Diceros bicornis minor: one gene and its partners. The protein of the gene in region 2 interacts with the protein of the main gene of each other region in a pairwise test. Links are inferred from orthologs where the notes say so. Each region holds a gene or a part of one and is shown on either strand. Other genes may lie near its edges. The genes, in order: JOSD1, KRT40, RWD domain-containing protein 2B and PIMREG.

Region 1 (7,787 bases), on a different chromosome or scaffold from region 2:
CTTTACGTTGTGCTGATAGGGAATTGAGGAGTATAGTACAACTTGCTAAAGCCTTACAAGCCAGGAATAGAACTCTGGTTCCAAGTGAGTGTTTAGCAAATATTTAGCATTCTTTCATTGAGGGAATACACAGCTGAAAGAGTACCTCTACCATCCACAAATAGCTTATAATCATAGTGCACCTCTTCAGACCCAGGCCCAAGTTCCGAGCAGGGTGAATGGCTCCTGATGCTACAATTGCTCTGACATGCCGTTCCAATACTCAGGAAGCAGCAGAGCAGTTAGGGGGCAGACCCTGGAAGCCCAAAGCTCGGGTCCAAATCCTGCCATTAACAGCTCTGGGAACTCTCTGTGCCATGATTTTCCTCATCTGGAAAAATGGGAAATAATCTACTTTGTAAGATTGGCGTGAGGAGTGAGCTAACACAAGGAAGGTGCTCAGAACAGTGCTTTGCCCAGAGTGAGCATTCACCTCTGTTAGTGATCACCCTCATGTCAGACCAGGGGCCAAACCTACAGAAGTGAAAAACTTCTGAAAGAACACACAGGATCTTGACTCTTGCCATCTCCCTGTGAGTGAAACCGGGCAAACTACTTAAACTGAACCCTAGTTTCCTAGGATCACTATTGATAAGGTTGTTGCAAGATCGTCACGTATCACAAGTACAAGCAAATCCAAGTACTCGCTGTGAGTCCTTTCCTTCTCCCTAGTATAATTTGCAAATACCCAATTAGGAGTAAAAGAAATATTAACGGCTAGACAAAAGGAGGCAGTCTAAGGGACTAGCCTCCTTTCTACTCCTTTCAGTTCCATGACTTGGTGATCTGAGACAAACTATCTCACCTCCCAGGGCCCCATTTCCTGAAGCCTTAATTCTGCTTGCCAGATAATGGCCATGATGGAAAGGACACATTTGCCCTGCTAAGGCATTACTATGGTTATTATCGGCATTGGAAAATAATTGCCGTCATTCTAATTTTGTCAGCACACTGGGGATTAACATCCTTTTAAGAGACGATCTATGGTTTTTTCAAGGTAAATGATCCACACCTATGCTTCACAAATCACCCCAAACAGGTTGTTTCCAGCTATAATTCAGGTCCTTCTGGGGCAATAATTTCATCTCCGAGTGAAGGGAGTCAGAAAAGGGTCTCCTGAAACGGCCAATATGCACTGCTTGAAGAATTCTTGAGCTTTCTCTGCACTGAGAACGGAGCAGGCCTCCACCTGTCTAGCTGGAGTAATGAAATAGGCTCACTGCCAAAGTTGCTATGGATTGCAGACGTCCTGCCGTGTCCATCCAGACACCGCAGAACTAATTCTCAAACCCCTTGATAAAAGAGTTTTAGAACATCAAAGCAGAGAAAAAAAGCTGAACTTCTGTCAACCTGTCCAGTAGCATTGGGCAAAATCGTTAAGAAAATCCATCTGAAATGAAGTAGAACCAGGAGGAGATCTAGAGTCAGCTTTAAATCATAGCTTTGCTACTTAGAAGCTATTTGGACAAATCACCTGATCTTTCGGCCTGTTTCTCTATCAGTAAAATAGAGAGAGTACAAGGACTGTTGGGAGGGCTACACAATGTATAAAAAGCACGTGGCCTCACAGAAAAGCTGAGCACTGTGGATACCTTTCTTATGGAACCCACGATATTCCACCTCTGATGACAGGTGACTGAGTGTGTACACATCTTGTCCCCCTTCTAGACTGTAAACTCTTTGGCGGCAGGACTTGAGAGGCATTATAGCATAGTGGTCAACAGCACAGATACAAACCTGAATTCAAACTTGGGCAAATGACTGAACTTCTCTGAGCCCTGTCTTTATCCATAAAACGGAAACAGCAACACATATTCCATGGGACTGTTGAGGGGATCACTTGAGATGACACAACTGAGGCTCTTAACACTGTCTGTGCCTGGTCCACAGTAAGTGCTCAATAAAGGGTAGTGATTATTATCTTTCCCATTCCCGCGTCCCTTATACCTGCTAACGGCATCTAGCAATAACACCGTTGGTTTGAAGGTTTTTGTAGCTGACACATTGCCCCACCTACAGAAATTCAGAAAGAGCAAAGTATCAAGATGCCTACCTCTGGAAAATCTCTTGCAGCGTCTCCCGGGTGAAGGCGTTGCTGTCCTGGAAGACGTTATTGAGTGCATGCAGGGCACAAAGCTCCCTGCGCTGTTTCTCATGGTAGATTTGTGGGGGTGCTGCCTGGGGCAGCTCCAATGATTCAGATTTGGCCTTGTCTCCTTTCCATGGCACGCAACTCATGTTTTTCGTTTTAGGTTCCAGAGAGGCCTAAAAACACCCCGCCCTCCTCTCCTGACAAAGAATGTAAGCTTCCCAGTCTTTTCAGGATTCCTGAGGTCCACCTTATTTTCTAGTGTCCATGATTTATGCTTTGTCACGGGGAGAAAAGGTTGAAACCAAAAGGACAAAAAGAAATCCACCTCTTCTCTCTTCTCAATAGAAAAATAACTTTTGGATTAGTGTATTTCGCCACCGCTGTCAAAGTGCAGAATTTTTAAAAATCATATAAAACCTAAGACCTTGTTTACCTTCTCTCCTCCCCCAAAACGCGGTTTTCTTTGCTGTATTTTCCTCTCTGCAAATGCCAACCAGGCCTCAATGCAGGACGACTTAACGGAATCGGTCACATCGCTCCTTTTCTTCCATTTCTTTCGAACTACAACGCCACTTACTCAGGAGACAGGGCCTAGGTGCTGGATAAAACGCAGAATTCGAGCAGCTAGAGAAGGCCGGCCAGCGGGAGACGGCGGGCTGTGCGGGAGCCTCGGGGGCGGCTCTCCATCCTCTGGGCGCGGCGGGGCCCCGCAGGGCGCGGCTCCCTCGGTAGGCGCGGACTCTCGCCCTCTTGCCCCGGCCCTGCGGAGGAGACAACTGCGGTCAGCCCCAGCGGGCGGGCGGGCCGCGCGAAGGAGCAGGCTGGCCGGGAAGTAGCGCGGCGGGTCCCGCTCCCCAGACAGAGGGTCCTGGGCAGGGAGCGGCAGGCCCTCGAGAGGTGGCGGGACAATTCGCCTCGCCCTCGGCGGCCCGCCTCGCCGCCCCCACCCCAACCTCCCCGCCCGTCACGTGAGTGCAAGCCGAGGCGCCCTCCCGTCGCTCCCCCAACCCCAGTCCCCACTCGGCCGCCCACGCCGCCCGGACCGCTCGCGGACGCGCCGCCGGCCGCCCCTCGCCGCCTCGGGCCGCCACCTGGAGCTGCCGGCCGCGCTCGGGCGGGCGGGCGACCGCGCGCACCTGAGCCCGACGTCAGCGGCCCTCGCCCAGCGCGTGCTCCGGAAACGCCCTCCTGCGCACTCCCCGCTCCCGCCCCGCCGCCGCGTCACGTCTGACGTCAGCCTGACGTCAGCGGCGCCGGTCTTGGGGCCGCGGCTGCCGCGCGGCTTTTGGGCGGGTGCGGGCAGCGTCGGGGGTTCCGGCGGGTGCACCGGCCAGCGGGGCGCCCCGTGTGTGGCTGCAGAGCCCGGCGGAGGCGGCGGCGGCGGCCGGTGGAGCTCAGCTCCCAGGCTCTGTTCCTTCCCGGGTGGGGATGGGTGGGCGGGGCGGCTGCGAAGAGTCCCGCCTTGACGCCCGCCCCTCCCCTTCCCCGGGCGTCGGCGCCGTTCTGGGGCGGCGACCCAGCCTGCGGCTGCACTTTGCCACTCTGCCTACCCCACCCGTGTCTCTGAGCTGGGCCTCGCGGGCGCAGTGCTTTCTAGAACCTGGGCTAGCTACTCCTGCGGTGACCGTTTTGTGTTGTCCTAGCGCGTCGTTCACCAGGTGATTTCAAAGCACCTTACTGACGCTGTCGCGCGCAAATTCTCTGGGTTAGTGGGCCCGCGCGCTCCGCACTTTCCTGGAGCTCTGAGGGTAAGTGCCTCTCCTGGAGTGGCATTTCAAGTGGAATGGAGAGTCGTATTTCAGTTCCCTGGTGTCGAATTTCGGTTCACTACACACAGACCACTGTTCTCTCGCACTCCGCCTCGCCCCTGGTCTCACGGTGGCTGCCACGGAGCTTTCTGGGTTTTCTCAGCAAACCGCGCAGTGTGCGTGTCAGGAAGGTAAACTCTCAGTCCCGCGTGGATTCTTACCCCTTTATCTACCCCTAGGGCATGTGGAAGGCATCAGCAAATATTATCCACCTTAGCTGTCCTCCTTTTGGGTTAGATAGTTGGAAAAACAATAAAAGAGATAACTCTTGGAATTCAGTTATTTCTTTAACCCTGCTTCAACACGGCTCTTTTAACACCATTACACTCGACACACAGTTATCACTTAACACACGTTTGAGTGACTACCATGTGGTCGGGAGTTCTCTGCCCTGATCCAGGCAACTTTTGAATTATCTTAAATATGTGTAATTTTTAAGCCACTTAATGGTTACAGTTGTATTTGCACAAGATTATTTAATGGAGGCTTGCACGCGCTAAGTGCTTTGTATATATTAACTCGTTTACTGCTAACTATCTTGTGAGGTAGATACTTAATTTTTTAAAGGAGACGACTGAAGCTCAGAGAGGTTCATTAACTTGCTCGAGGTAAACATAGCTAATAAGTAGTGGACCCACGATTTGAACCTAGGCTCTAACCTATCTTCAGAAAGAGGATATAAAGATGGGTAGGGAATTCTCTCTCTAAAATGTGATTTTAGATTTTTCTATTCAATTCAAGAACAATATTTTTTCTGGGCAAAACCCTGTAGTGAGAAGGGCATGTTTTTTAGTGTACCGTCAGGTGTCAGCACATTCTGAACTTGAACTCTTTCTGGACGAGCCACTTGGTAAGATATTAAATAGCAATTTTCGTTCTAGACTGCAATGCCTTGATATTTGGCTTTTCTGACAAATCAAGATTTCAATATTTGTAACTACCTCATAGAGGAATATATAGGATAGTGGTGAGCAATTTAGCCAGAGAAAAAGAAACACATTCGAAGAACTGTTAACAAGACCTTTGGATTTGGATGATTCTTGTCCCAGATTCCCAGCTGTATTTGTACACATAAAACTTGATTGTAGGTAGTTGAAAACAAGCCAAGAGGAGGTTGCCTTTTTTTCCATTCAGGTGGATCCCTCAAACTGAAGGGCATTTTGAAGACTGCCTCTTGCTCGCTAAATCCTGTGTTCCAAACCCTAAATCTTGGGTATATTACCTTCTCAAATGGCTGCTCTTTCTTGCTTGCTGCCTGGGATGAGTGGCCAAAACCAGCACTGTAAGAATTTGGCTAATCCCTAATTTCATCAAACTTTTCAGAATTGAAACAGCAATTCAAGACACTAAAAACTGTGCTGATGGTGTTTTGCATTGGTGCTTTCCACAACTGGTGACACTCTGGAAGAATCATCCATAAGAAACTATGTTATCAGACCCTAGATCTCGGCTTCACAGTTCTGTTAAAGAACAAAAATCCAACCCAATAAATTTAAAGATCTTATTGGCTTTATTCAGCGATTCATGAATAGCGAAGCATCCCATCCAGCAAATAGATAGGAGCTCCAAGGAGGTGTACAAAATGCAAGGTTTTTATAGGCGGAAAGAGGATGGGACAAAGAAGTTCAAAGAGCGGCTTTTCCGTAGGGGAGGGCAGGGGGCTTATCAGGCAGATTACCTCACTACTAGTGTTGATCAGAAAATTCCAGACTGATTGCTTCCACTCCTGGGAGAAGCGGAAACTGCAATTAGGTGAGGTATTAAGTCTTGGTCAAGGGGCTTAGCCTAAGTGACTCCATTTTGGACCTGCTGTTTTTTTTAAAGGGTTTATAAATGTGGTGAGGTGCTTTTGGCTTCCATTTTAGCAGGTTGCCTCTTTTTTTGTTTGTGTAATTGCTTTCTCCGCAGAGACAGTGAATGGAGAATTCTCCCCAAGGTCAGCGTTTAATTAATTGCCTCGCTCCGGCTGCTATAGTATCCCAGGCATCGATCCTACTGTCAAGATTGCCTAGAGAGTGCCAGCGCATCGGACCTCGGTCTTCCAGTGACTGCCTGGAGTCATTGAATTGAGTGGGCGGCGCCTTGTGCAGTTTACTATCTCTGGGGGCGGTGGCCCGAGGCGCGGGACCTATCCGATGACTAGATTGGGCCTTGTCCCTGTCCATCATCGGAAAGCTCTCGGCGCCCACTGTTTTGCGGTAAGATTTGGAAGCTGAGCACCGCCTCTGGAAGCAGGAGAGTGAGGGGCGGAGAGGGTAAACGTTACGTGTGTTTCTCTCCTCATTGGGTGGCTGCTGTGTCAGTCATACTGTGCTCTGCTCCCATTGGCGGGAAGGCTCCGGGCAGGTGGCGTGGACACGGTGCTGTCCACGGTGCCCCCTCCCGAGCTGCGATCAAGGCGCGTGACGTCTCAGATGGTTGTTGTTGGGATTTGGGCCTCATTGATTATTCATTAGGTGCTTGAAAGGGCTGCAGCGATTGGTGGCTGAGAGGCCGTCGGTTGTTTCTTAGCTAGAGATACGTGTCACCCCCAACGCGTTTGGATAAATTTTGCATAGATTATTCAGTTGAGGTGCGGGGCGGGGCCCCGCATATATTAGGCAAATGAGCCAGGGAGGGCGGGGAGGCCGGCTACGAATTAGCCTAAGTTATTAAAGATGGCGGCGGAGCGGAGTCGCTCCCCGATGGACTCGCCGGTCCCGGCCTCGATGTTCGCCCCCGAGCCCAGCTCCCCGGGGGCGGCCAGGGCCGCGGCGGCTGCCGCCCGGCTACACGGCGGCTTCGACTCGGACTGCAGCGAGGACGGCGAGGCGCTCAACGGCGAGCCGGAGCTGGACCTCACCAGTAAGGTAGGCCCGGGCGCCGGCGGCGCTGAGGGGACGGGGCGCTGAGGGGAGCGGGCGGCGGGCCGAGCCGTCTCCGGGGCGACGGCGGGCGCGGGAGGGCCCGAGCCCGCCCACCTGCCGTGGCGGGACGCGCTAGGGGCTCCCGGGCGAGGGCGTCCTCCCCCGGCGGCGCCGAGCGCCCTCCCGCCTCCCGCCGGCCGGCTCCCGCCGAGATCGCAACCCTTGGGCTCCGCCACGTGGAACAGGGGCGCCCGACGCCGGCGGCCTGCTCCCCGCGCGGGGCCGCCCCCCGAGACCGAGTGGTCCTCTCCCTGGACCGTGCCCGGCGGGCGGCTTGGGCAGGGGGAGCGGGGGCGGGAGGGTCCGGTAGTCCGAGGGGGCGGGGAGGCGGCCGCGTCCCTTCCTGGTGTCGGGAGAGGGAACAGAAAGTAGTCGCCCTGTCGGGGAGAAGGGTGTCTGAGGAATGTCTAGGGCTTTACACATCCACCCAGAACAGAAGTGAGAGATGGCGTGACCCATAATCTCGCCCTCCTGGGGGTGGAAGCTCGCCTCGTATGAATGGAGTAATCAGGGACGTTTTAAAGCGTGTCTTCTGAGCTCTTGAGAAGGTAGGCGGGAATTAAGGGCTCGCCGTCTGCTTGGCATTGTGGGGATAAAGAGTGAGTGTAAGATGTGACTGCTGTTTTGAAGGTGCTTAGCATTGCTAAAGGACAGAGCTGGGTTGCCTTTCCTGTCATGCCACTTAAAAAGGCTCTGTGACCTTGGAAAAGTTTCTTAACCTCTCAGTTCTCCAGCTACATCATTTTTAAAGTATAGATGCCTTGTAAAAATGAGAAATGTATGTAAGACGCTTACTATAGTGCCTGATGTATACTACTCAGTAAATGTTTGAAGTGAATTGAATAAACTGATAATTCCCTGTGCAGATTAAATAGCAGCGGATGGAAGATAGAACAATACCACCTCCTTCCTGTTGTTGCATAGTTACAATAGAGATGTTTA
Region 2 (7,567 bases):
CTTTAAATTTAAATTAAGAGATTTTAATTTTAAAAATTAAATCTTTAAAATTAAAAATTTTAATTATTTAATCTTAAATTAAATAAGAGAGAAGCAAATGAAAATTCTAGAACTAAAGAGTACAATCTGAAATAAAGAATTTAATAGATGGCCTTAATAGCAGATTGGAAACTGCCAATTATTGAAATCGATGAATTAAGATAGCTCAAAATAATTAAGATAGATCAAAATTATCAAAAGTAAAACATTGAAAGAAAAAGATGGAAAAAAAAATAAAAAAACAGAACCTGAGCAGCCCGTGGGACAGTATCAAGTGGCCCAACACATGTGAAATTGGAGTTCCAGAATGATAAGATAGAAAGTGGGGCAGAAAAATTGAGGGAAAAAAGGGCTGAAATTTTTCCAAATTTAGTGATTTATTTTATTAGCCTACAATTCAACAATCTCAACAAACCCGAAGCAGGATAAACACAACCTAAACACACACACACACATCACACAGATAGAGTCAAACTGCTAAATAACAAAGATCAATAGACTATCTTAAAAGAAATAGGAAGGAAAAATACACATTAAATAGAGGGTACCAAAGAGAAAAAGGTTGCCAGACTTCTATTCAGATAAAATGGAGGTCAGAGGACAATGAAACCTCATTTTTAAAGTCCTGAAGGAAAAAAAAATATTAATTCAGAATTCTATAGTTTGCAAAAACAACATTCAAAATTGAAGGAAAAATGAAAACATTTTTAGATAAATAAAGCTGATAAAAAGCATTGTCTGAAAGCCTACACTGTGAGAAACACTAAAGGAAGTCCTTTTGGTTTAAAAGAGTAAATTATACGAGATGAAATCTCAGACCCACAGGGAGCATTAAAGAACACCAGGAGGGGGCCGGCCCCGTGGCTTAGCGGTTAAGTGCGTGTGCTCCGCTACTGGTGGCCGGGGTTCAGATCCTGGGCGCGCACTGACACACCGCTTGTCCGGCCATGCTGAGGTGGTGTCCCACATACAGCAACTAAGAAGGATGTGCAACTATGACATACAACTATCTGCTGGGGCTTTGGGGAGAAAAAGGGAAAAAAAAGAGGAGGATTGGCATGGATGTTAGCTCAGGGCTGATCTTCCTCACGAAAAAAAAAAAAAAACCACCAGCAATGTTAAGTGCAGAGGGACAGTAGAGAATATTTTGTCAAGCAAATATATTGTCAGGCAACTACTTTCTCTTGGACAAACAGCCCATGACAAATACACAAAAGACTGGAATAGCTGCTTCACAAAAGAAGATACCCAAATGGCCAATAAATGCATAAAAAGTTGCTCAACTTCGTTAGTCATTAGAGAAATGTAAATTAAACTATGAGATGACACTTTACACTGACTAAAATGTCTATAATTAAAATGTCTGACAACATCAAATGTTAGTGAAGGTATAGAACTAAATCTTTCATACATTGTTGGTAAGAGTGTAAAAGAGTATAATCATTTTGGAAAAAAGTCTGGTAGTTTCTTATAAAAAGAAACATGTACCAATTCCATGACTCAACCATTCTACTCTAGATATTTACCCAAGAGAAATGAAAATATATATCCACAAAAATATTTGTACAAGAATGTCTATAGAAGTTTTATTCATAGTAGCCTCAAACAAAAAATAACCCAAATGTTCATCCAAAGAAGAATGGACAAACAAATTGTAGTATATTCATACAATGTGATGAAAATAATCAAAATAATAAGAAATTGTCACATGTTGAGATGTGTAGGGAAGCCATTCTGGCTTAAACCTGATTCAGCCTAAACTTGTTTTCCCTAGAGCAGCCTGACTTATGACCTGTCAAACATGCATTGTACATCTGCTTTAAACATTAAACATTACCCCAAAGCAAAGGATGCACTGTCTGAGGATAGGGACGGATACCTCCCTTCCTCTGACGTCAATACCAGTGCTCTTTTGAAGGTAAATTTTTCTTGACAGAAATCAGGGTCAAGTTGACCTGCCGCACACATGCGAAACTGCAGCAAAATACCTCCTTGTGACTTTGAGGAAAAAAACGTATCCTTGTCAGGCTTGATGTATGTTCTTTGTTCTGAAATGGGATATTATCACGCTGCAAACCGCGCTTCTCTGGAACACTTTCTCCCTTTGTCAAGACTGCCTTCCTGGCTCAAGTAAAATTCACCTTATCTCTCCTATGTATAGAATGGTTACTGGTTATTTGTGTCGACAAATGAAATACTCCTCAGCAATTAAAAAAAAAAAGAACAAACTGCTGAAGCAAGCGACAACATGGGTGAATTAAAAATCATGATGCTGAGTGAAAGAAACCAGATACAAAAGTATGCACGCTGTGTAGTTTTACTCATGAAATTCACAAATAGAGAATAGCCATCTATAGTAATAGGAACCAGCACAGTGTTTACCTTTGGGAGGTGGGGATTGAGTGAAAATGAGCACAAGGGAACATTCTGGTGTCATGGAAATGTTAGATATCTTGACTGGGGTGATGGTTACATAGGTATATGCATTTGTCAAAACTGCATTTCACTATATGTAAATTTTATCTCAATAAAAAAAATGGAGGAACAAAAAGAATATGTATTTGACAACTATGGAGGCATTGGGGACCAAGACTCATAAATTGGAGATCTTACACTGGCATTATATTTTATTATCTATTAAGTGAGAGATACTCATATTGTTTATTTCTTGACAACACTATACTGTAGAAGTGACAGGTATTATTCTTCCCACTTTACAGTGAGGACTAACTAAGGCCCCAAGGGGCTACACGACTAGATGAAGATAATACAGCTAGTAAGTAACAGCATTGGGACTAGAATATAAATACTATGTCCACTAAGACAGTGTTCTTCGTCCTCCGCCAATTCTCCTTGTCTTTCAGTGTTAAATTTCTTTCATAAGGAATCATGTGTTAAGACAGAAACCTCTGTTAAGCCAAGTGGTTATATTTTTAGCAAACATTTATTAAGGGTCTATTATATTATGTCCCAAGTGCTGAGGGTAAGAAGACAAATAAGATACACCCGTCTTAAAAGAGACACTGTCAAAAAAAAAAAAAAAGGCACAAACATAAAAATTTTAAAGCAACGTGACATAAGTGGAGGTGTGTGCAAAATGCTCTGGAAAGAGCCGCCACCTCAATGTGAGGCAGTTGAATGCCACGGCAGCCGAGTCTTGACACGTGGGTTCACCCAGGAAAGGATGGTAGAAGAGCATTAGGCCAAGGCAACAGCACCAACAGAGCCTGAAGGATGAGACAGTATCAGGAAATCAGCTAGAAAGGTAAATTGGACCAGATTAAGGAAGGTCATATTTGTCAATCTAGGAAGTTTGGACTTTATAAGTGGAGAGTGACAAAAAGTAGCTTTGTATTTTACAGAAATGATTCTGGCAGCAGTAAGTGGATGTTCTGAGGTAAGGGCATATTACAGAATCAAACAACCACAACTGAAGGCAAGCAAAGTGAAACAGATTATGCTTCATAATGGAGATGAAATTCAAGGGGAAATCTAAAATAGCTACATCTCAAATCCCTAGCCGTTCGGTACTGCACCAGGGATTTCCTCCAACGGAATTGCTGATCTGGAACCCTCATCATAGAGTTTTATTCCCCAGTTCCAGTATTTTAAATTTTCATGAAATTGAGGCCTTCAAAAATAAATAAGAGAAAGCAGGTTCCATATCTCGGAAGAAAAGCCTTCTGTAGCATCCTTGCCCCTACTCTGAAGTGTAATCAATGAAAGTTCAGTTTCCCATGAGGCACAGGAAATGTGGAGAAGGCAAGTGTCAGGAAATCAAAGATCATAACTCCAGGTCTTGATAACCATTTTATATTCTGGCCTGGGGGGGCACAAATTATGCCCATCAGTTGTGTAAAGTGACTTTTCAATTTGCACACAGGCAGATCTGGTTCAAACACACACACACGCACACACACACACACACCTTAAACCCAGTTCCACCTCACTCCTCCACCACATGAGCACAGCAAGACCACAAAAAGCATTGCAAAGATTGCTAATTACACGAAACATTTTTATGGTGATGGCACAAACAAATGGCATTTAATGAGTTGTAATATTAACTTTAAAAGGAGACAATAAATAATTTTCAATGAACAGGATCAAAATCTATGGGAATATTATTTTCCATATTGATAATCAGTTGTATCTATAATTACTCATTGGCCACATTTTCTTTCTTTCCTTATTCTGACAAAAGGACAATGCTTCCTATGAAGATTTTCTGAAGCAAGCATTTTATCCCACTGGCACATGGAAATAGTGACCTTATTTAGTAACCTGAAGTTATGCTTCTTTTATGAGGCATAAAACTCTGTCAGCAAATAAACAACGCTAATGAATGTTCACATGAAAACTGGCACCAACAGCGATAAAGAAAACATCCGGTGCATTCTGTAAATACCCATTTGGGGGCTATATAAAAGTCTCAGCAGGGAAGGAGATTTTGGAGCCAGGCAACTGGAGTTTTGGAACTAGTCTTTGCTCTTCACTTCTAACAGGATGACTTCTGACAGCTCCCCCACGGGCAGCTCTTCTGAATCCTGTGCCAGGGCTTCTGATTGTGCGTTTGCTTCTACCTGTCCCGTGGAAACCACTTGTCTCCCCAGCGCCTGTGCTGCATCCAGATGCCAGACCCCTAGTTTCCTATCCAGGTCTCACTTGCCAGCCGGCTGCTTCGTGCCACGCCACTTTGCTGGGAGTTGTAATGTTCCGTGCTTGGTGGGGAACTGTGCTTGGTGTGAGGATGGGGTGTTCAACAGCAATGAGAAGGAAATGATGCAGTTCCTGAATGACAGACTGGCCAACTACCTGGAGAAGGTGCGTGGCCTCGAGGAGATGAATGCAGAGCTGGAAGGCAGGATCCGAGAGCAATGTGAAGAGGATATCCCATTGGTGTGCCCCGATTACCAGTGTTACTTTGACACCATTGAAGATCTCCAACAAAAGGTCTGGTGCCTTACTGCCCTAATGCTCCACCTTCCCAATCTCTGATTTGCTTTATCTTTTTACTGTTCTATGGAGGAAGCCAGGGAAAGGGGACTTCCAAGAGGCGATGTGATGTAGAGGGTCCAGAGTACTTAACTAGAAGTCAGGAAACACCAGCACTAGCCCCAGTGCTGCCTCTAATTACTGATTGACCACAATAAACTCACTTACCTCTAAACTTTACCCTATCATCTATAGAATGATGAAAAACTATTAAATCTAAAATTACTTCTGTATGTAAGGCTGTACATCTACATTATTTTTAGCATAAGATATTGAAATGTCATTTTTTAATCATATAATTTCACCTAGTAATCATTTTCTTTTCTTATTAATGAATTGTTATTATCATGGCTGGGGACATAGTCATAATACAAACTACTTACAGAGAAAATTTTGAGTTCAACTGCCAAGGAACATTGCAAAATGTCTTGGGTCATTAAAAAACTAAACCTTTTTATTTCTCTATTTTGTTTATAAATTGGCACTGTTTTTTTCCTTATGAGGTGACATGGTTAATAAGAAAAGCAGGCTGAAAGCTATTTTATACTTTCTTATAAAGACTTTTAAGAGATAAATAATGGCATAGATGTTACATGAATAGATACTTATGCTTCTTTCAAAAAAACATTTATTACATAATAACTTACTTTCCAGATCTTGTGCACGAAGGCAGAGAATTCTAGACTTGCTGTACAGCTTGACAACTGCAAACTGGCCGCCGATGACTTTAAGTCAAGGTAAGTTTAATTTGAATTTGAAAATAATTTATGGTTGCCTCTATCTTTCTCACACGCACACACACAGACACAAACACAGCACAAATATTCTCCATATAATATATTTTTATGCTAAGAATTCTCGCAAAGCTCGAATTTACCATTATTTGGGATATAAAGGAAATCACAGCACATGGCTTCCCTGAGTTCACGTGTCATTCATCAGCATGCCCTAGCACTCGGCACAGTGTCAGCAAAGTAAGCACAGGCTGTATCTCTTTTGCTGTGAAAGGTATGAGTCTGAACTGTCTCTTTGCCAGCTGGTGGAGACGGACATCAGTGGCCTGCGTGGGATCCTGGGTGAGCTGAACTTATGCAAAGGTGATCTGGAGGCCCATGTGGAGTCTCTGAAGGACGATCTTCTTTGCCTTAAGAAAAACCACGAAGAGGTGAGGAAAGTGGAAAATCGCTGAAGGGCTCTCAGAGTGACAAAGTTAAACTGATAGATTTCATTATGTATATATAAAATTGCACTTGGGTAGATGTGGCTTAAACTGAAACAAAATTACTCGAGGCACTACTACTATGCAGCCTGATCACTCCCATGTGTCTCTGAATGTAGATGTGAAATGACCCCTGGCCAGTGCCAGATGAAGGGGCCAAACTCATCACCTGCCATTACTTTTGTGGAGTTAGCTTTCTCTGGAGGCTTTATGCCACTTGTAACTCTAATCCATAGAGTGTGAAAATCAGGCTGATAAACACAGAGTATGAAGGTCATTTCAAAAAGGGGATAAATACCCTTAAGGTCCATCCATGTTGCCACAAATGGCAAGATTTCATCTTTTTTGTGGCTGAGTAGTACTCCACCGTAGATATATACCACATCTTCTTTATCCTTTCATCCATTAATGGGCACTTAGGTTGCTTTCAAGTCTTCCGTATGTGGAAGATAAACAAACAAACAAATACATAGATATGGAGAACAGATTGGAGGTTACCAGAGGAGAAGGGGGCCAGGGGAGGGCAAAAGGGGTAAAGGGGCACGTGTATGGTGACAGATGGCAACTAGACTTTTGGTGATGAACATAATGCAGTCTATACAGAAGCTGAAATATAATGATGTACACATGAAATTTATATAATGTTATAAACCAATGTGACCTCAATTTGAAAAGGGGGGGGGATAAAGACTCAGGCAATATTTGGACAAATATTTTTAAATATTCTGCATATATAATCTATGTAAAATCATAAAATATGAAGTGTATGATTATCTCATATTGATGAAGCTAAAAAATGAGAAGCTAAATGATATAACCAAGAACATTTTCTCTTTGAACATTTGTTGATGATAAGAGCTAACATTTATTGAGACCTCATTACGTGCCAAGGACTTTTGTAAGTGCTTTATACATATATTAACTCTCATATATCTCATAACCCTCTGGAAAAGGTAAAATTATTATACCCACTTCACAGATGAAGAAACTGGTGGTGAAAAAAGATTCAACCTAAGGAATCTAAATCTAAACTCCCTGCTCCAAAAAACAGAAGTGGGAGGCTATTGAGATGTCAAAGTGAATTCCCCCTCCCTGCCCATTCTGTGACATTCTTTACTCCATTTCCACTTTCAGGAAGTCAGCTTGCTTCGTGGACAGCTTGGTGACTGCCTCAGTGTGGAGCTAGACACTGCCCCCACCATCGACCTCAACAGGGTCCTGGATGAGATGCGCCATCAGTACGAGATGGTGCTGGCCAACAACCGCAGAGAGGCAGAAGAATGGTTCGCTGTCCAGGTCAGCACCTGGGGCAAT
Region 3 (6,945 bases), on a different chromosome or scaffold from region 2:
TTTGAGCCCTGCGTCCTGTCTACTTGCTGGTCGACCTTGCAATAAAGCTCTTTCTTCTCTCAAAAGCAGTTGCCATAGTATTGCTTTTATGCACATCACACAGCAAGCCCTTGATGGTTAAAAAGTACTTGAAATGCTGAATGACACCAAGTTCAACAGGTTTCTTTCTTTCTTTCTTTTTTTTGTTTGGTGAGGAAGATTAGTTCTGAGCTAACATCTGTTGCCAATCCTTCTCTTTTTGCTGAGGAAGATTGGCCCTGAGCTAACCTCCGTGCCCGTCTTCCTCTACTTTATACGGGACGTTGCCATAGCATGGCTTGATAAGCAGTGCGTCAGTCCACACCCAGATCGGAACCCATGAACCCCCGGCCGCCAAAGTGGAGCATGTGAACTTCACTGCTGTGCCACTGGGCTGATCCCTCAACAGGTTTCTTTAGGGTGACCATGGGTCATCCTATTGTCCTGACTGGCTTATTTGGACAATAAATTATACAGGCACACTTTTTGTGTGACTTCTCAGAGTCTTTATTGTTAGATCCCAATACACACTGTGAATTTCTAAGAAGAGGGTTTAGTTTGCAAAGTATCCCAAACCTATCTGACCCCAGAACATTTTTTTCCAGACCCAATGATATTAGCTCTCCTCTCCACAGAACAGGAATCCCTGCTTTGTCATCTAGCCACCCCAATTTAAGTAGTTAAGTATTGCCAAAGCTACCCACCATCTTCATTTTGAGTCCTTTTCAAATTTCTGTTAGAGCTGCAAACACTCCTCCCTCCTTTAAACACAATGTTTTCTTTACTAACCAGTGACTTCACATAATTTTATATCCTACTATTTCAACTTGACATTCTAACTTAAGCATTTGCTCTGTTATTTAAAAAAATCTTCATAAATATTTAAAATTCCTGGACTTATTGGAATTCCATAAATATCTTTTCTAGTCTGTTTTGGAGTTGAGGAATCTAAGAAACAACTCGTTAGATGGTTATTAGAGGAAATGAATTGACTTTGGTTTTAGATCATAGTGGTTTAAGCATGCACTCTGTTACCAGACTGCCAAGGTACCACTTACCAACTGTGTGAATCTAGGCAGGTGGCTTAATTTCTCTGTGCCTCATCTCCCCATCTCCAAAATGAGAGTGACAGGGTTGCCATGATGATTAAATGAGGATGTGTGGAAAGTGCTTAAAACAGTGCCTGGCAACAGAATCAGTGCTATAAAAGTGCTTGTTATTATTATGGGTCATTCATTCAATAAATGTTTCTTGAGTACCTATTGCATGTCAAGCATTGTCCTTGGCACTAAGACTATAATATGAACAAAAGGAACAAAAAATCTCTGCTGTCGTAGAGATTTTATCTAGCGGGAGAAGACCATGACAACAAAAACAAATACATATGTGTATTGGATAACTTATGAAGACTGAAGATAAGGAGCAAGTGGGAGGGCTGGTTCGATTTTACGAGGGATGGTCAGGGATGACCTCTCTGCTAAGGTGACTGTAGGGAAGAGATTGTAGGCACTGAAGAAGGAAGCCATGTGCTTATCTGGACACAGAGTTTTCCAGGCAAAAGGTACAGATTCAAAGGCCTTGGGGCAGGAGGGTGCTAGGCCAGGTGGCTAGAGCCAAGTGAGCCTGGGGCAGTGTCTCCTAACCTGTTTCAGGAGACAAAGTTAGAGAGGAAAAATGTGGCGGTTTATGTTGGGACTCACAGGGCATGGCCAGGACTTTGGAATTTATCCTGACTGATAGGGAAGGTCCCTGGAGGGGTTTGACTTACTTATGAAGATGCCCAGGCTTCCTGCTGTTAACAGTGGAGGGGAACAAGGATGAAAGCAGAGAGACCAGGTGGGTACTACAATGACATAAGGAGGGACGACAGTGGCTTGGATTAGGGTGTGATGGTCGAGGCGGAGAGCAACGTTCACATTCTGGACATGAGAGGAGAACCAACAGGATTTACTGATGAAATATACGTGATAGGTAAGAATGACTCCAGTGCTTTGAGAAACTGGAAGGATGGATTTGCCATTTATTTAATGGGGAAGATGGTAGAAACATGAAGCTTGGTTTTAGAGATTCTAAGTAGTGAAGTGCCTACTAAGACACCTATTAAGTACAGATGTCCAGCAGGCAGTTGGACGTACAAATATGGAGTTTATAAGCGATCCAGCTGGAGCTGTAACGTTGGGAGTTATCAGCATTTATTTAGAGGCATGTTTGTCTGGTCACCCAGGGAGTGAATGAAGTTGGGAGAAGGCCCCATTGAGTTTGGAAGTCCGGAAGATGAAATGGAATCAGCAAAGAAGTTTGGGACCAAGCGACCTGTGGGCGGACAACTACGGGAGTGACGTCACAAGGCAGTTATTTATTTGTCAAACTACTTTCGTAGATGAGATTTTAATCCCAAAAAAAAAAAAAACCAACATTTAAGATTTCAGTGCAAAAAAAAACCCTTTTCTGACTCAAGATTTCACTGAATGCTGTAAGAACGTATGAGGAAACTTGAGTTTCCAGAGTGGAATCATTCTTTTTCCTTGCAGATTTTTTTTTTTTTTTAAAGAGCCGAGCCTGTCTGGGCTGCCCAAGTCCTGACACTCAGAAAGTTGCCAGGGCCCACTACAGAAGCCCGGCGCGCAGGCGCTGTCGCCCCTAACAACTGACAGGGCATTGGGGGTCGGGGGGAATCCCTGGCTGTGGGCGGCGCCAGGAAACTCCGACGCCAGCTCTAACCAATGAGCGGAGCGCAGCGCGTGGGGAGGCGGGGCCGGCACATCGTCAAGTTCTCGAATGTCCAACAGGCAGCGACAGCGTGGGAGACCCCCAGGCCTGCTGGGCACCGGTGCACAGAGACTCACCTGGAGCCACGGACCCCGTCGTGCTGTAACCCCGGGTTTCCTGGCAGCACTGACAGCTCAATTCTCATCCAGAGGGAGCCTCGAACTGTAGGACTAGGCAACCTGACGCCCACAAACCGCTCCCGCAAGGCGGCCCCGGACTAACGAGAAAGTGCCCTCCCCGGGTGGCGCATGCGCGCTCGCGGGCCGCACGTCCCGGAAGCCCGAGCGGCAGCGACCTCTTGGTCGCGGGATGCGTTGGTGCGACGGGGTTCCTTAGCCCTACAACGTTCTCAGTTGCAGAGATTTTATTCTACCCCATTGGCATTTCCTGGCTACTGCTACTGTCAGGGAGAAGTATAGCCAGCACAGTTTCCTCGGTCAAGGAATGGTCCATTAAAGTAACGCTCCTCAGGTTCGAACTTGCGGAGGAATCATTCGGGGATCTTGGTATAATGCAGATCGGGATTCGGTAGGTGCCGGTGGGGTCCCATATTCTGCGTTCCTAAGATCTTCCCACGCAGTAGCGATGCTGCTGGTCCCTGAAGGACACTGAGTAACAAGGCATTTGGGAGGAGTGAGCATGATTGGTGGCCATGTCGACCTTAGGAAGGACCCTGTGCATGCACAGAAATTTATCCCGGCTAATAAAAGGGCAGTTTGAAGGCGACTCCAACAGGAGAGTTATTAGCAGTGTTTTTCTTCGATATCTAAATACACGCAATGCACTTTTTTCTTTATGTTACATATTCATTTTAGAAATCTAATCAGTAAGATGTTTGTAAACACTGATATTCATTGGTATCAGGTATTATTGCTAACTTCCACAACCTTTCTTTTTTTTTTACAACAACAAGATTAGTACATAGGTCTTCATAGCTACATCTTCTACTTGGTGTTTTGTGAGCATTTTTCAATGTAATTAAACATCTACTTTTTTGTCCAACTTTTATGAAAAATTGCAAGTATACAGCAAAGTTGAGAAAATTTTGCAGTGGAGCAGGTCTAAAGGGAAGGAGGAGGGGGGATTTTGCTCCCCAGGGACATTTGGTAATGTCAAAAAACATCTTGGGTTGTCATAACTGGAAGGGTGCTTCTGGCGTCTCATGAGTAGAGCCCATGGATGCTGTGCAACTTCATACAATGCACAGGACATCCCCCTACAACAAAGAATTTATTGGTCCATAGTGTCCATAGTCCTGAGGTTAAGAAACCGACCTAGACACTATCATAACATTTTACTGGACCAGCTTTGTCATATATCTACTCCATCCATCAATCCATCTGTTTTGATGCAATTCTAAGTAAATTGCAGACATGAGTATACTTCTCCCTAAGTACTTCAGCATAACATTAGGAGTCAAACTATTTAGGTTTTTCTTTTGAAGTAAAAATGAAATGCACATCTTAAATGTATATTTGATAAGTTTTGACAAATGCATAGACCTGTGTAACTCAAACCCTATTAAGATATAGAACATTACCAGCACCCCAGAAAGTTCCTTCATGCTCCTTCCCAGTCAGTCCCCAGCCAAGCCAGCAAAAATAGTTTTGCCTGTTCTAGAACTTCATATGGATGGAATTACACAGTAGGTACTTTGTGTAAGTCTCCTTTCAGTGTCATATTTTAAAGATTCATCTATGTTCTTGTGAGTATCAGCAGTTTCCTTTTTTCCTCCGCTGGAAAAGAGTTGCCCTGAGCTAACATCTGTTGCCACTCTTCCTCTTTTTTTTTTTCCTCTCCCCAAAGCCCCAGTACATAGTTGTATATCCTAGTTGTAAGTCCTTCTAGTTATTCTATGTGAGCTGCTGCCACAGCATGGCTACTGACAGACCGGTTGTGTGGTTCAGTGACTAGGAATGGAACCCAGACCGCCGAATTGGAGCATGCTGAACTTTGTCCACTAGGCCATCAGGGCTGGCTCTCAGCAGTTTCTTTTTATTGCTTAGTAGTATTCCATTGTATTTCCATTCCAAGTTTTTCCATCTTCTTTTGATGGAAATGTGGGCTGTTTCCAGTTTTTTGGCTATTAGGAGTGAGGCTATGAACATTCTCATACAAGCATTTAATTTCTAATGACTATGTTTCTTCAATAAGTATTTATTAAGTACTTACTATGTTCCAGACTCTTCTAGGTACTAGAGATACAGTCATGAACAAGACAAAGATGTTCCATCTCTCAAAGAGGTTACATTTGCACATTTCTGTGTATGTATCAGGGTGGGGGGGGCGGGGCAGAGTAGTAAACTAAGGCGATGTGAGTGATTGAGTGGCTGTTACCTAGGTTGCTCAGCCAATTTCTCTGTGAGAAAGTGACTTTTAACGTGTGAACAGAATTACAATAAGATACCAACGACGGAAGATCAAGGGGAACAACATTCTAGGCAGAGGAAGCAGGTGGTACAATAGCCCTAAGGATGTGTTTTAGAATACAAAAATAATGCCTGTGTGCTGAGTAAAGACAGTTTAAAAAATTATTATATCAGCAATAAAGAGCAGGAAAGCCAGTTCACCCCCATGTTGAACCATCGTACTCTGGCTGATCTGACAGCTGAGGACGCCACTTTCTTAACCTACTTTTGATTACTCATAAGGATGAACATTTCTTCATATCTTTTACAACCAATTGTTCTTTTATCGTGAATTGTTTCTATCCCTTGCCTATTTTTTCTATTGGCATCTGCATCTTTTTTCCCCACCGATCATTGTATCTTCTGCATAACACAACTCCAGGGCGGCGAGGCTTGTTTGTTTAATTCTCTTCGCAGAGGGCTTGGCCGTTACCTATTTTGAACGAATAAACAGTACATGTTTGAAAGTTTTACCCTCCGTCGGCAAGGTTAGTTTAAGACAACGTACTTAACTTTAAAAGTCGACTGGACAGAATTAGGGGAACTGTGTGAAATTGAAATGTTCCGGGCTTCGCCAGCCTTCAGGTGTAATATACTTGAGTAAGGTAGCCCTCCAGGAAACTCCAAACCTCTGACCACCACCACCAGGTACCCATATTTTAGATGCATGTAAATAACCCCATAGTTACTTCCGAGCAGACAAGACTCAGTGACAGCCAGACTCCAGGTGCAGCAGCGGCTGGACTTCCGGCGCCAGTCACGCGCAGGCGCCGATTAACTAGCGTCAGCCCCGGGGAACCCTGGGGGCCAAAGCCATTTCCCATAATGCCGCGTGCCGGAAGTTGTTGCTTTCTAGGGGTCACTGGCTTCGGCTCTGTCGCTCTCTATTCGTCACCGGGAGGAAGACCGAGCTTGCTGCCCAGCCTAAAGGCTCGTTAGGGGATGCAGTTATGGGCGCTGTCGTTGTGGGTGAGTTCTGGTCCCACTGACTCTGACTCGCAATCACCGCTCGCCTGACTTCCAGCGCTCCTAGAGTCCGAATTTTCCTGCTCCCAGCTGGTTCTCTTCTGGAAGGCCCCGCTTCCTTAAGCACGTTACGCGGCCTCGGCCCGGTACCGCGTCCTCATTGGCTTCATGTCCTGTCAGTTCCAGGAGCTGGCCAATGAGTTGTCGGTGCTGGCGCCCTTCTCGACCCCCGTGGCCGCCGAGGTTCCCCCGTGGGTGCGGAGCAGTTGGAAGGGAAGCGGGGGTGTGGCGGGCGCTGCGCGGCTTTGGGCTCTCCACGGGTTGGGGCTGGGTTTGCTGTCGCGTCCGTATCGTGTGGTCAGTAGGAAAACCAAGATCTGTCACCTAACCGATTCAGTGCCTCTAGGGTAGGACAGATCTACGCGAAACTTGAAAGCCATGTTTAAGACCTGCTGATAAAGTTTTCCAAGCGCTTGCATTTTTAATGGAACCGAGCAGGCGTGGGAAGACTGGGAGGGCAGAGAGGGAAGGGAACTGGATTAATCTGAGAGCCGACAAGATCAGCTTTGATTCGAATTTTGTGTGGAGTCCTGCAAAGAGTAATTTGCCAAGAAGGTAATTCTCCTCTGAAGGCTCGCCTGAGAAACGTAATAGATTTATGGATGTTTTATAGCTGATGGTACTCTCAGTACTTTATTCTCACGACTCATTAGATGCCCTGTAGAGTTGTCAAAAATTCGTTGGAGCTCTTTCCACATCATTCAAGTGACTCCCTCCTGTCCTC
Region 4 (7,127 bases), about 27 Mb from region 2:
TGCTTCGTCTCCTCAGAGCTCTGAGGGTGCTGGAGGATTCTGAGCACCAAAGCCTTCCTCTTCTTGACTCCAGAGGGACTTGTTACAGGGAGAAGGGACACGGGGCCCCACCACAGGCAGAGACGAGAACTGGACTAGCAGCCGATAGACATGCCTCCAAAGAGCTGATCCCACCTCTTATTTTCTGAACTGTGGCCTTGGGTGTCCCCCATCCTAACTCCAGTTTCCCAGCTGAACCAGGAAAATCGACCTCTCCTGCCTCCCTCTCCAGGAAGTGGAGGGCCTCCCTGGAGCAGTGAGTGGGACCCCAAAACGGCACACCCAAGAGTCTTGACTCCCATGAGGAGCCGGTGGCATAGAGGGGGCCAAGTCTGGGCCAGCTGGTCTGGACCAGAGAACCCAGACTGGGGTAGTCGGATCAGGCCCTTCCAGGACCCCTCCCTGAGCGCCCAGACCCCCCGGCCCCCAGGGCCCAGCTCCATCCCTCTCTGGGGGCAGGGGATCAGGGTGGGGGTGCAGAGGCCCTTCTCTTCCGTTCCAGCCAGCCATCTGCATGCATAGGAGGGAAGACGGATACTTAGATGACAAAACTACAAAGAAAAATAAAAGCGACTACCATAAAAGTCCAGGGACGGAGGGAGGACACACAACAGGGGGTGGGGGCTGCTTCTGGGGTCCCAGTAATGTGCTGTCTCTTCACCCAGGTGATGGGTACACGGCTGTTGGCTTTACACGTATTCATTATACGAGACTTGATGTTTTCGCCATTTTTCTGCCAGTGATAAAATTCACAACGAAGAAAAAGGTCTAATCACGTCTCACACTGCTTAAAACTCTCCCGCTGTTTCCGTTGCTTCCCTCTGTAGAAGGGTCAGGAGGCACCCACGGATTAGAGGAGGTAGAACTGAGAGGTTTGGCAGACGGTGGGCGGGGTGAGAGGTGGGGGCATGAAGGGAGGGGGTGTTAAAGCTGATGACCGGGGTTTCACTGCTTTGAAGAATGAGATGCTTAGGCCAGAGCCTCCAGACGGATCCCCCCGCCACCCCTTGGCCCCCAAACTAACCTCCTAATGGACTTCATTAAATTGCAGCTCTAACAACCCCACGGTCCTCTCAAAACTCAGGCTTCCCTCTGCCCTCAGGATAAATTCTAAGCTCCTTCCCCGGTCAAGGGAGCCCTGCAGCCCCTACCTCTTGCCACCCCGGCCCCGCCCTCTCCATCTCACTCAGCCTGGGCAGTCCCCTTGCAGATCTCTCAATCAGAAAACCTCTTCCCCTCGCTTTGTCCTCCTAACTCCTCAGCTAAAACATGATATGCTGAGGGCAGCCTACCCTCACCCCCAAATCAAGTGGGGTTCCCCAACCCCCTTACACCCCCTCGTCGCCCCTAGCACTTCGCATTCGTGGCATCTTGCAGAGTTTAATGTCTGCTGCTTCCATCACACTGACAGCTCCATGAGGTCCAGGAAACCGGTGGAAGCTTTGCTGTTGGACAGGGAGCCCCCGGGGCGGGGCAGGGCTGGAGCTCCTCCTTCACTCCTCCATCCTCCTCCCCAGCAGAGGCGAGGACGGAGCTGGACCCCAAAAAGCCTCAGCTCGGAACAACTGTGGTTTTTCCTCCTTACGAGGAGGAGCAGGAGCCCCTGCGCCCACCGCCCCTCCGCTGGGCACCTGCTCACCTCAGCGCATCCTCCGTGCTGCTCCCTCACTTCACTCCCTGCAGGGCAGAGGGAGAGCCTTCCCATTCAGGTTTCTTCCTCCTCCTATCGTTGCCATGGAGACTGATCCTGTGCACCTGGCCCGCCAGTTATGGTTCTGAGGGAAGGGGGTGTGAAGCCCCAAGCAGGGAGGGCCTTGTCTCTGGTTCATTCACTCATTCATTCAGGCTGTGTAATCTAAGGTTAAGAATTCAGGTTTTCGAGTCAGACATCCAAGATTTAAGATCCAGCTCTGACTCTCCATCCCAACTTTGGTAAGACACTTGACCCACCTGAATCTCAGTTGTGTCATCTGTAATTTGTCATAGAGTCACCGTGAGGATTAAGGAAGAATAAAGGAATTCACTTATCGCACACGTGTTAAGGGCTCAACCAACTTAAGCTATCGTATTGACGCCAGTGAGGTGCCAGGCACTGCTAGAGGCACGGAGACAAGGCCTTGACGCAATTGTAACAAGGCAACCCAATTTGAGAGACTTTTTTTCTAAGTCTTTCCCACACTTTCAACTTAGTTTTCATAAAACAACTCTTGCTTTCCCCCTTATGTCTCGTTGGTAGAGGACCTGAACTACATTCTTTAATTCCAATAACAAATATAACTGGCACAAACAGGGCTGGGAACAAACACCTCTGATGCTTGGGAAATAACTTAATGGGGGAAAAGGGGGAAGAGGCAGACCAGAGCAGGGTTGTTCAAACTGCAGCTCACACCTCAGTAGGGAGCCATTGGGAGCTGTCACCAGCATGTTAAAAAAAATGAAGTAGATAATAAAATATCAAAGCCCATCACACAGTTTCAGGAAAGCTTGTTTCATTAAACATATGTGTGTGTGCTGGGCATCTTACACGGGTACTGTTCAATGTTGCCTTGAACATTCCTGTGCGAGAAGACCCTCCACACACGCATTCACACACGCACACACACACACGCACGTACATTCTTTGCTTGGTCAACTCATTCTCTGGATCTCAGCTTTAAATGACGTAATTTTTGTGTCATAATATTCTTTGATTAATTGATTATTATTTGACTCGTTAATGCCGGTCTCTCCCCACACACTAGATTTGAGCTCCGTGGGGGTAAGGAATGCGTCTGTTTGTTGACCTTTGGTCCATTTTTAGCACAGTGCTTCATCTGTCAGACACCAGTAGATATTTGGAAAGACATGAGAGGGGACACGGGGAGGGAGGAGGAGGGTTGGGAGAGACCAGGGTGACGTCGATTGGGGCGTGTGGGTTTAAGGTGCCTACAGCCCCAGGAGGAGATGGGCATGAGGGGACAGGCACAGGCTAAGGAAGGGCAATGTGGTGTGGTGTGGTGTGGTGGTGCAGCACGTGGACGCTGGTGCCAGACTGACAGAGTTTGAATCCTTGGCCCTGCTTTGTACTAACTAAGGGAGATTGGGACCCAACCGAAGCTCTCTCTGCCTCAGTCTCCTCCTCTCCTCTAGGCTGCAATGAGGGTCAGATGAGTTCATAATATACAGTGCTTGGGACACAGCTTCCTGGTGCACAGTGAGCGCCCCATACATGCTCATCACACTCACCATCCCGTGGGGGGTCACTGAGGCCAGAGAGTGGGTGAGATCACCCAGAGATAAAGAAGAGGCTAAGGACAGAGCTTCTAGGAGCCCTTCAGCTGAGACATCAGCAAGAGAGTGGCCAGAGAGGTGAGGGGGCGGGTTAAACCAGGTGAGGATGGGGACAGTGGCCAGTGCTGCTGTGAGGTCAGGTAAAAGAGGGAGATGGTGGCGGGAGATTTCTAGAGGAAGGCATTCGACTGGAGAGAGAGGAGCGTCAGTGGGGCACACCGGGTGTGGGGAGGGGGCTCATTGGAGGAGGGCTGGGTGATGTACTCTGGTCTGTTCTCTCTTCCAGGATGGGATTTCCTGGGGGCAGAGTTTGGTGGAGTCTGGGGAACACAGGAGGGCAGTGCCTCGTCTCCGGAAGGCAGAGAGAAGTTTGAAACAAAACCTCCACGGGAACCCAGGGCTCCGAGCTCCCAGCTGCCGGCTGTTTCTGACGGATAATCTGAGACTCTGGACAGGATGGGAGGGTCCCCAGGAGCCCGGGCCCGTGTCTCTGCCCCGCCCAGTCCGACCAGCCTGAACCCTTTGCATTTCGAGGAGGGGCCGCAGTGGCCTGGGGCCGAGCGTCCGCGAGGGGGCGCGGGGGCTGGGCCGGCGAGGGGCGCGGTCGGGACCCGCAGTTACAAAGGAGAAGCATCTCGTCGCGCCAAGCCTGGCGCGGTCCTGAGGGATGAATGGGAACGGCCGGGCCAATCCGCGGGCAGGATTCACAGCCGCGAGAGCAGGGAGCCAATCGGATCCCGGGCGCGGCAGCGATGCGGGAACGGAGCCAATCAGCTGTGACGACAGGACCAGGGGCGGATCCGCGCGGAGTTTCAAATCGGCCGGAGTGGGCGAGGAGCAGCTGTGCCGGGCGTCCGGTCGACGTTGGGGGCTGTTGGGTGAGTGCGGGCCGGGCCGTAGTGGGGCTTCTGTTCTGAAGGGACCGGGGCGGAGCGGGTAGGATGGGCACGGCACGTGGGCGTCTGGGTATTGCAAGGTGGAAATCGGGGTGTCTGGTCAGTATGCGGGGTCCTGGCGGGATCGCGTTGGGTCAGCGCGAGTTTGTGAAAGAGCCGCTGATGGTGCCCTGGCCAAGTGCTGAGGCTCGGGAGGGCCGGTCCTGACTCTGCCTCCCTCCCTGAGGCAGGAAGCGGAAAGCAGGCTGGGATGGAAGGACAGCTGTTTTAGACACTTGCAGCAAGGGACTGCAGGAGATGCTGACCGGCCTTGTACAGCCTCTGCCCTCTTCTGGGCCTCGCTGCCCTCGCCTTCTAGGAAGCATCCTCCTTCCTATTCCCACAGTTGCCGAGTGCCCTCACCCCCGGCCTCGGCCATCCACCCCACCCCATGGGCCTCCGTCCCATCTCTTCCCCTGTACCCAGGGTCTCTGTGGAGCCTGGGCATGGGGGATGCCTTGCTGACCTGCCTTTTGACCTCCTTCCCAAGGTCTGGTGGACAGAATAGACTCTTGGCCAGGCAGATGGCCTCTCGGTGGCCAAGCGTGGGGGTCTCCTTGCGCCGAAGATCTCTCCAGGACCAGGAGCAGCTGGAGGAGAGTGAGATGCTGCAGCCTGCAGTCAGCCATCCGGAGACCTCCAGTGGGGCCCTGGGCTCTCTGTGCAGACAGTTCCAAAGGAGGCTGCCTCTGAGAGCAGTCAGCCTCAACCTGGGGGTGGGCCCCTCCTGGAAACGCCTGGAAGCCCCAGAGCCAGGGCAGCAGGGTCTCCAGGCTGCGGCCCGCTCAGCTAAGAACGCCTTGGGTGCCGTGTCCCAGGTAATGCTGACAGCGCGAACCATCAATTTATGGAGGGCTTCCTCGGTGCTGACAGCTGCTGCCCTCAAGGAGCCCCAAAGAATACAGAGTCCAAGAGGACAGGGACATTGATGTTTTCATTGCTGTGTCCCAGCACCCCAAATAATTCCTGGCACTCAACAAATAGTTGAATGAGTGAAGGAAAACAGTGTCATGGAGGAAATAGATCCTCACAGTACAAGGTGATAAGAGCTGTATTGTGATAGGAAATTGCAAGGAGTGGCTGATGGGGGGTGACACCAAAAACAAGCTCGGTGGGTGAAGCCTTCCCAGAGGAGGTGATTCCGCAGAATTCACCCACAAAAGAGGAAGAATGAGGAATGTATGAGGCAGGTGCAATAGTGTGAGTCCAGAGCCAGAAATGAAGGAGAACTGACAGGCGCTTAGTCTGGGTGTGGCCAGAGAACAGAGAGCAAGCTGGTGCAAGAGAGAGGGATCTGGTGTGCTGAAGGTGTTAGACTCTCCCAAGAGTGATAGGGAGCCATGGGAACCAGTGGGAAGAATTTTCAACAGGGTGGGAATAGGGTCCAATTAGCATATTAGAATTTGTTCTTTAGCTACTCGATGGAAAAGGAGTTAGAAGAAGATTCCCCCTAAGGGGGCCTGGGGCCCTAGCCTTACAGAGGAGTGAACAACTTTAAGAGCTACTCAGAAGGTAGATGTGAGAAGATTTGGTATCAGATGAGATGTGTGGGCAAGAAGATATCACATATGTTGGGTGTGAGGTACCTGTGGGCCTTCAAAGTGGGTGTGTCTTCAAACCCGGAGCTGGAGATGTGGAAAGGTGTCCCCTAGAAAGGACAGAGGCCATGAGAGTGACTAGACCTCCAAGGAGAGAACTGGGGGGAGGGAGGAATCTCCTTTGTGTCTGATTGAGAATCTCAAGATTTGGGAGAGGGAAGCTGTTTCTGAACCCTTTGCAGAAAGGTCTCTGAGCCAAATGTTAGTCCTTGTCTGGAAGAGCCCTGTGATTGTTTTATACCCCAGGGATCAGAGAAATGAAATGAGGTAGGCTGCCCAAGGTCACCAAAGTTACTCACCGAAGGTAACTCGAGTCTCTAACCTCCAGACTCTGGTTTGCCGAGGCAAAGACAGCCTGGCTGAGGAAGAGCCTTCACAGCCGTGCCCCAGCTGGAGTGAAAGGCCCATGAGTTAGGGCTTGATCCTGTGGGCAGTGAGAGCCATAGAAGGGTTTTGAGCTGTTGAGTGTCATGGTCAGAGCTGCCCTTGAGAAGGATCTCTGCGCACAAATGTGGAGGATGGATAAAGTGAGTGAGACCAGAGGCAGGGAGACCAATTATCTCATGGTATCCTGGGGGGTCAGCCTGGTCTTCCCTGGGCCTTGCCTTTGATTCTTTGGGTCAACGTGTGTCCCACAACAGGGGCTGGGCTTAGACAAATGCAGGCTCCACGTCCAAGAATGGTTCTGCTGTGACCACTGCTCTCACACCCAGCTCTGAGCTGGGTCCCTGCCATGCACCCATTTCACACAGACTCATCCACATCCCTCACTCCTGAGACTAAAAGCTGCCTGTACTTGCAGGATAGCTGGTGGGCCAAGTGGGTAGAGGTACAGCCTGGAGACTCGGGGTAGCTCCTCCTTGGCTTGTCTGTGCTCACCTTTCCGTGTACCTGTCACAGAGAATCCAGGAGTCCTGCCAAAGTGGTACCAAGTGGCTGGTGGAAACCCAGGTGAAAGCCAGGAGGAGGAAGAGAGGGACACAGAAGGGCAGTAGCCCCCCAGCTCGCAGCCTGAGCCAGAGGAGCACCCGGCTGTCTGGAGCTGCCCCTGCCCACTCAACCCTGGACCCCTGGGAGAGGGAGCATCACGGCCTCTCCGCCCAGATAGGCCCACGTGGCCACCCCCTGCGACGGGCCAGGAGGGAGGCTGCCTTCCGGAGCCCCTACTCCTCGACAGAGCCCCTCTGCTCCCCCAGGTATGAGGAAAATGCCCTGCCCCAAAATACCAACTGGGCCCCAGGGGCTTCTGAGCCCCTTCTGGGGCTACCTGGAGCCAGAGGCACCC

The links.
Region 1: the proteins of KRT40 (region 2) and JOSD1 interact in binary tests that used the Homo sapiens proteins (3 or more experiments, as listed by UniProt). The two-hybrid records come from large-scale screens. The link is inferred for Diceros bicornis minor from reciprocal best matches to the Homo sapiens genes KRT40 and JOSD1.
Region 3: the proteins of KRT40 (region 2) and RWD domain-containing protein 2B interact in binary tests that used the Homo sapiens proteins (3 or more experiments, as listed by UniProt). The two-hybrid records come from large-scale screens. The link is inferred for Diceros bicornis minor from reciprocal best matches to the Homo sapiens genes KRT40 and RWDD2B.
Region 4: the proteins of KRT40 (region 2) and PIMREG interact in binary tests that used the Homo sapiens proteins (3 or more experiments, as listed by UniProt). The two-hybrid records come from large-scale screens. The link is inferred for Diceros bicornis minor from reciprocal best matches to the Homo sapiens genes KRT40 and PIMREG.

The regions. Positions count from the first base shown.
Region 1 is NC_080764.1:11,248,740-11,256,526, reverse strand, and holds the start of JOSD1 (josephin-1), read right to left. Parts: upstream 3,023-7,787; 5' UTR 2,278-3,022; coding exon 2,093-2,277; intron 1-2,092. Other genes in the region: GTPBP1 (GTP-binding protein 1), read left to right, coding at 6,597-6,788.
Region 2 is NC_080757.1:40,394,546-40,402,112, reverse strand, and holds the start of KRT40 (keratin, type I cytoskeletal 40), read left to right. Parts: upstream 1-4,545; coding exon 4,546-4,992; intron 4,993-5,688; coding exon 5,689-5,771; intron 5,772-6,042; coding exon 6,043-6,199; intron 6,200-7,387; coding exon 7,388-7,549; intron 7,550-7,567. UniProt on the Homo sapiens protein: May play a role in late hair differentiation.
Region 3 is NC_080766.1:29,905,614-29,912,558, forward strand, and holds the start of RWD domain-containing protein 2B, read right to left. Parts: upstream 3,003-6,945; 5' UTR 2,865-3,002; intron 1-2,864.
Region 4 is NC_080757.1:12,900,861-12,907,987, forward strand, and holds the start of PIMREG (protein PIMREG), read left to right. Parts: upstream 1-4,111; 5' UTR 4,112-4,187; intron 4,188-4,734; 5' UTR 4,735-4,768; coding exon 4,769-5,062; intron 5,063-6,742; coding exon 6,743-7,038; intron 7,039-7,127. UniProt on the Homo sapiens protein: During mitosis, may play a role in the control of metaphase-to-anaphase transition.